2 linked regions of the Macaca fascicularis genome follow. The protein of the gene in region 1 purifies or fractionates together with the protein of each later gene. This does not show direct contact. Links are inferred from orthologs where the notes say so. Each region holds a gene or a part of one and is shown on either strand. Other genes may lie near its edges.

Evidence for each region. The genes of interacting proteins can lie anywhere in the genome.
Region 2: the proteins of MAP2K1 (region 1) and LAMTOR3 purify together in Homo sapiens (affinity purification with western blotting; 3 studies listed by BioGRID, with this or other methods). This does not show direct contact. The link is inferred for Macaca fascicularis from reciprocal best matches to the Homo sapiens genes MAP2K1 and LAMTOR3.

What each region holds. Positions count from the first base shown.
Region 1 is NC_088381.1:43,043,473-43,047,224, reverse strand, and holds the start of MAP2K1 (dual specificity mitogen-activated protein kinase kinase 1), read right to left. Parts: upstream 2,291-3,752; 5' UTR 1,838-2,290; coding exon 1,758-1,837; intron 1-1,757. UniProt on the Homo sapiens protein: Dual specificity protein kinase which acts as an essential component of the MAP kinase signal transduction pathway.
Region 2 is NC_088379.1:105,526,470-105,530,121, reverse strand, and holds part of LAMTOR3 (ragulator complex protein LAMTOR3), read left to right. Parts: intron 1-860; coding exon 861-919; intron 920-2,530; coding exon 2,531-2,664; intron 2,665-3,652. UniProt on the Homo sapiens protein: As part of the Ragulator complex it is involved in amino acid sensing and activation of mTORC1, a signaling complex promoting cell growth in response to growth factors, energy levels, and amino acids.

The sequences.
Region 1 (3,752 bases):
TGGCTCACGCCTGTAATCCAGCACTTTCGGAGGCCGAGGCAGGCAGATCACCTGAGGCTGGGAGTTTGCCACCAGCCTGAATGACCTGGAGAAATCCAGTCTCTACTAAAAATACTAAAAATACAAAATGAGCCGGGCGTGGTGGCTACTCAGGAGGCTGAGGCAGGATAATCGCTTGAACCTGGGAGGCGAAGGTTGCAGTGAGCTGAGATCGCACCACTGCACTCCAGCCTGGGCAACAAGAGTGAAACTCCGACTCAAAAAAAAAAAAAAAATGTTTGCAATGCAATAATGCAATCCAACTACCTATACAAGTCAGTATCATGCAAAATAGACCCCACAGGATTGACAGGGGACTAAGGAAGAGAGTCGGCTGGGAGCAGGTCTGAAGAACACAGTTGAACACACACCATGGGTCCACCATCGACCTTGTGATCATTACAAGGATGGAACAAGTCATCAAGCCAACAGGTCCCCAGATTATTAAAATCTAGAGAAAGCTGGCTGGGCAGAGTGGCTCATGCCTGTAATCCCGCACTTTGGGAGGATCGCTAGAGCCCAGGAGTTCAAGACCAGCCTAAGCAATATAGCAAGACCCTATCTGTATAAAATTTTAAAAAATAAAATTTTCTAAAAATCTAGAGAAAGGAAGGGAGGTTACAGAAATCACCAAAGAGCAGAAGGTCCAAGCCTACCCTGATTTCATCAGTTAGCTTCCTAAAGCCTGCAGTGTGCAGGTAAAAAGAGATTAAGAACCTAATCTTTACTGAAGGTTGGGCAAACAACAACTAAAAAAAGGCAAATAATAATAATAATAACCTAATCTTTTCTGGCTATTTCTCTAGCTAGCCAAGCAGCTTTCCCTCACAGAGTCTTGTACCTTACCTAGAACCCAAGAGAGTTGTGGGAACTCAGAAACCCCCAGGAAACAGCCTCAAGATTATTTCATGAAATAAAGTGCTCGTTTGTGAGCAACGCTGGAAGCTGCAGAGATGGAGCACCTAGCATGTGGTTTCTAGGTCATGGTGTTTATGCCTCAGGTCAGGAGTTTAGGGGCTCCTAGTCAAGTACGGAAAGCTAGGAAATCATTAGTGAGAAAATGGTTTGTTCAATGAATGAATGAATGAATGAAGAGTCGGATGAAAAAGAAAGCCGCTTTCTTGAGCAATTTCCCAGGAAAGCCAAGGACCGGGAACCTCCAAAGTCGGCAAGGAAAAGCCACGAAGTCCACACGGACTTCCAGCACGCCCCCGCTGGCCAGGCAGTTGACCTGCAACAAGGCACTCAGACCCCACAGGTGTCAGGCATGAAGGTGAGGATGATGCTCCACACTTAATACCCTGAGCCGGTCTCAAAAGCACGGATGCGATCTTAATTCTTTCCAAAACAGTAGCCTCCTCTCCCCATTACAGGCCAGACTCCCAGAGGATCACATTTAGAACAGAGCTGGGGGGAGGCAGGGAAGACGTGCTAGCTTTTATTTTCTTGGGAGAAGACTGCACAGTGGCCAGGAACCACTGAAACGGTCGGGAAAAGGGGTGCAGAGGGGAATCGAGACCCGCGGGATCCGCTAACTGGTCTGAGTCAGAAGCACAATCAGTGCTTAGTCACCGATACCTCGGCGGCCGGGAGTTCCTCGCCCCCTGCCAGTCCCAGACGTACGTGACAAACCAGAGCGGAGCCTGGCGCGCGCTCCTGCTCCCCGGCCCGGGCCTCCCCAGCCGGGCCCCGAGGTTCACCGCCCGCCCCATACTTACTCCGCAGAGCTGGTCCCGTTAACCGCGGAGCCGTCGGGGGCCGGGTTCAGCTGGATGGGCGTCGGCTTCTTCTTGGGCATTTTGGACCTGGGAAAGGCGCTTCCAACTCCGGGGGGAGGGCAGCACCTCTCGCTTCCTCCCACTGCGCTGCCCCGCGCCCGCTGCGCAGGACCAGGTCCGGGCCGCTAACCCCGGAGCTGCCCTCAGAGGGTGCGCCCCGCGCGGTCCCGTCAGCGCCGAGGGGCCGGTAGCGGTCTCAGTGGACCCCCGCCCCACCCGCCCGGGACTCGGCTCCGCGCGCAGAGAGCCGAACGGCTGCCCTGCAGGAGCGGAGCGGGCTGAATGTGCGATTCGGCAGCCCGGGATTCCCTCCCGCTCTCCCAACCAACCAGTCCCTCCGGCTCGGGCGGCCCAGCCGCGCGTGCACCAGAGCCCAGCTCCAGCTCCTGCGGGAGAAAGTGCCGCCACCGCCGCCGTGCTCCTAGCAGCTTGGCGAAGCGGCCCTGGGAGGGACTGGAGGCCGGGGGAGGGGCGGGGAAGGGGAAGCCTCGCCCCCCACCCGGGATGCGGCGCTTTCCACACTCCCACTCGGCTCCGCCCCTATTGCCTCGCAGACAACCAATGGGGGCAAGCCTCGGCGGCAGATGACGCGGAAATACGTCACGGGAGCGGGGCGCGCTGCCCTGGGGGCGGGTTCCGTTGCGGGCTCCACGGCGCCCTCTATCGCCCCAAGGCTCGCAGGTGGACCAGCAGGGAAGAGGTCTATGTCGCTGCGTGGTGAGCTCCTCCAGGCCAGGTGCTGCGCGGCCTCCACCTCTGCGGTAACTGGCCTGCCCCCGACCCCTGTCCCCAAGCCGAGTCGTGTTGATGGAAATGAAATAACAAAATAAATAAGGAAAAGGAACCCTTCCTGTGTTCAGAGGAGAGGCAGCGTGGGGGGATAGGAAACTTGTCGAGAGACTCCTTTGAGCCCAACAAACTGTCACATATATATTTTGTTTGTTTGTTTGTTTAATGGTAATACTACTGAGAAGGGTGCAAGGAAGTGGATACTTAGTGCTGATGAGATTGTATATTGTTGCAACAGTTTTTGAGAGCAGATTGATTTTTTTTTTTTTTTTTTTAGACTTGGGAACTTTTTTTTTTTTTTTTAAGACGGAGTATCCCTCAGTCGCCCAGGCTGGCATGTAGTGGCGCGATCTCGGCTCACTACAACCTCCGTCTCCCAGGTTCAAGCGATTCTCCTGCCTCAGCCTCCAGAGTAGCTGGGATTATAGGCACCTGCCGTCATGCCCGGCTACTTTTTGTATTTTTGTAGAGACGGGTTTTCACCATATTGGCATATTTTTTAAAGCTTTAAAAACACTGTTTCGGGCCAGGAGCAGTGGCTTACGCCTGTAGTCTCTATTTTGGGAGGCCCAGGCAAGAGGATCACTTGAGCCCAGGAGTTCGAGACCAGCCTGGGCAACATAGTGAGACTCTCATCTCTATTAGCTGGGCATGGTTGTGTGCAGCTGTAGTCCAAGCTACTGAGGAGGCTGAGGCTGGAGGATCACTTGAGCCCGGGAGTTTGAGGCTGCAGTGAGCTATGATAACACCACTGCACACCAGCCGGGGCTACAGAGCAAGACTTCCTATGAAAAACTTTCATCCAGGTCGGGCGCAGTGGCTCGCGCCTGTAATTCCAGAACTTTGGGAGGCCGAGGCGCGTGGATCCACGAAGTCAGGAGTTCAAGACCAGCCTGACCAAAATGGTGAAACCCCGTCTCTACTAAAAATACAAAAAAGTAGCTGGGCGGGGTGGTGGGCGCCTGTAATCCCAACTACTTGGGAGACTGAGGCAGACAATTGCTTGAACCTGGGAGGCGGAGGTTGCAGTGATCCAAGATCACACCACTGCACTCCAGCGTGGGCGACAGAGTGAGGCTCTGTCTCAAAAAAAAAAACACAAAACAAAACAAAAAAACTTTAATCCAAAAATTCCTGTTCTGTGAA
Region 2 (3,652 bases), on another chromosome or scaffold:
AACCTCCTGTTTTCTAGGTTCTCATATCACTATGAACTTTTTTTTTTTTTTTTTTTTTTTGAGACAGAGTCTTGCTTTGTTGCCCAGGCTGGAGTGCAGTGGCACGATCTCAGCTCACTGCAAGCTCCGCCTCCCGGGTTCATGCCATTCTCCTGCCTCAGCCTCCTGAGTAGCTGGGACTACAGGTGCCCACCACCACGCCCGGCTAATTTTTTTTTTTTTTTTGTATTTTCAGTAGATGAGGTTTCACCGTGTTAGCCAGGATGGTCTCGATCTCCTGACCTCGTGATCTGCCCGCCTCAGCCTCCCAAAGTGTTGGGATTACAGGCGTGAGCCACCATGCCTGGCCCCTATGAACTTTTTAACAATACTTGCCCCCAATTTTAGTTTTACGTTTGTTCTTGTGAGATTATTGATAACACACTCACTTTTTAGATCGGAAGCCACGTGAAGGCAATGATTGTGCTTATTTCTGTTTTTCATAGTATCAAAGTATTAAGTGCCACAAACACCGGCCATTTAATATTTGCATGAATGAAAAAAGAAGAAGGCTCTTTTTTGTCACTGCAGCCATTGCTGATAATCTTTCATGCTTTTGTAAACCATGGACTGATCATTCATTAGCAGTTTTAATGGAGAGTTAGCTTTGTCTTAGATTCTTATTAATAAACCGCATGAATTTATAAATATTATAAACATTTCTATAATAGACATTGATTCCATTTCTGGGAGAATTTTGGGGTCCTGTGGTTTTTCAGAAAATACATGAGAATTATTATGTCTTTGAGGTGTATAGTTTGAGAAAATGAAATATTTTATATTTTAACTTTTTTTATATTTTAACTATTTTCTTTTTCTAGTGTTGAAGGGCTCCATGCCATTGTTGTATCAGATAGAGATGGAGTACCTGTTATTAAAGGTAAAAGTGAACATTTAAATGCAAATATCTTCTTTGCTTTTGACTAAAAATGCGTGTAATTTACATCTGAGTAGTACAGCAGGCAAACATCTAAAATTCATTTTAGTAAATTTTAGGAGATGGTGGTCTTAGTATTGGCGGAAGTGTTTGCTTTTGTATGCTGAAGGTTGAATTTGAATCTACAGTGTATTATATATCAGGTGTATCATGTTAACATCTAGAGTTTAAGCATGGATTTATCACAGACCCATTTCCCGTTGAAGACATTTACAGTGCAATGTAAACCATTAGTAAATCTAAGTGATGAGAGTGAGCATGTAGGCAGCTAGATAAACACACAGACACCCCTACATTACACACACACACACACACACACACACACTTTATCAAATTGCTAGTTGTTTTAGGATAATACCCATGTATTTGAATCATAAGTAAACATGATGTCACAGAGAGTCAGTATGGATTCAGACAATTTTTTACTATTTTTATTTTATGGTATTATGAGCATGGATGTTCCTAGTTTTTTTGGGACACTGTAATGGCTTTATCAAACATTAAAGATTGGATAATGTTCTGTATATTTCGTGTACAATTTTCCACCTGGAGTTGTCATATATGTCAGATAATTTTAGACTTTAGAAATGAACGGAGGTTTAGAAGTCAAGTGATTTAGTTCTTTCATTTTATAAGTGAAGGTAATAAAGTGCAAAGACACTTGGACTTCATTAGCAGTTTCAGTGGAGAGTTAGCTGTGTCTTAGATTCTTATTAATAAACTGCATGAATTTGTAAAGATTATAAACATTTCTATAATAGACATTGATTCCATTTCTGGGAGAATTTTGACAAACACATTATAAGAACATGGAATATCAACAAAGGAGGTCCTGTGGTTTATAATCTTCAAACATTGCAGTCCAAAGTCGGGCGTGAGTCAGTAACAGAACCCATCATCTCCTGATGTGTGGTCCAGTGTGCTTTCTAACTCACTATAAAATGGTCGTTGAATGGTTGTGGACAGATTACTTGCTTTCTCTTAATTCTGTAATGAGGGATTTGAACAAAATAATCTCAGATTTTCCAGTTCTAATGTTCTTCATGAGGATATCTGTGTTAAAGCCTTGAGCCCTGCACTCATTAATACAACAAACTCCATGCAGACCTTTTAATGAGTGAGAGAAACACGAAACAGGTAACTAGCTGCAGATTGCTAATATCTATGAGAGATATTCCTTGCTGTGGGTTTTATAAGAGCAGAAGTTTTGTAACTTTTTTCATTAGTTTATTCTAACCTAGTCCTCAGATAACCAGTTAAATGTGCTTGATTAATCTATGTTTTAAGTTAGATATCAAGAAAAGGTAAACATTTAATTTTCTTTTTAAAATTTAAAAAAATTGTGAGAGTCAGCATTTCTTCTATTGTGATCAGTGAACTTTTGACTGAGCAATTTTTCCTGATTAGTGATGAGACCCCATTAGTGATATGATTTTCAATATTGTGAAACATAACCTTTGTGCTCAGTTTTAAACAGAGGTTTATGAAAAAGGGCTGTAAATCTCTCTATCATATCCTCTGCATAATTTTTATTTAAATCACTTATTTTTCTAGTGGCCAATGACAATGCTCCGGAGCATGCTTTGCGACCTGGTTTCTTATCCACTTTTGCCCTGGCAACAGACCAAGGGAGCAAACTTGGACTTTCAAAAAATAAAAGTATCATCTGTTACTATAACACCTACCAGGTAAGTTCATAATTATCAAATGATTTGCTGATTTCAGTTGTCATTTTTGTACCTTTTATATATAAAATAGTTTGTGTTATAGTTCTCAATTTCAGTTTTGAAGGGGATGAAATTGTAAAATTTTAGCCTTCAAATTGGTTGTGTTAAACGGTAGTAATTTTCTTCACATTTTATACCAGGAAATAATTACGATGGAAAAGTAATTAAGTGACTTAATAAAGTACATGTTATCCTAAAAAGTGTACGTCAGGTCACTGTTATCTCCAGTAGATGGTGCCCTTAGCTAAACAACTGTGATTTCTCAGATGACACACTTTTTTTGTTGTAGTAACAGATAAAAAAAACTTTCCTTGAAAGTTTATTAAATTTGCTCTTGCTACTAATTCCTTCATTTTTTGGAAACATATATATGTAATAAATGAGGTTATTATTTGTGGGAAAGAAGTTAGTTTTTACATGTCTCTTGATCTCAAGCTATATTTTCTTAAGACTGAATTAATTCCTTGTGCTTTAGAGCTATGTTTCCTAATCAATTGATGTTAAGTTACTCTTTTTTTTTTTTTTTTTCTTCCGAGACAGAGTCTGCCTGTGTCGCCCCATGCTGGAGTGCAGTGACATGATCTCATCTCACTGCAACTTCCGCCTCTCAGGTTCAAGAGATTCTCAAGCCTCAGCCTCCCAAGTAGCTGGGATTATAGGCATGTGCTACCAGGCCTGGCCAATTTTTGTATTTTTAGTAGAGATGGGCTATCACCATGTTGGCCAGGCTGGTCTTGAACTCCTGGCCTCAAGTGATCCCATCCACTTCAGCCTCCCAAAGTGCTAGGATTACAGACGTGAGCCACCATGCCAGGCCCATCTTTTATTTTAAAAGTTACATATTTTAATGTGTATTAGGTAAAACATAACCAAACCATCTGACCTTTAATTTCAAATAAGGATTAGGTTGAAACTAAGTTTTTTTTTTTGAAGGTAGTTAATTTAAAGT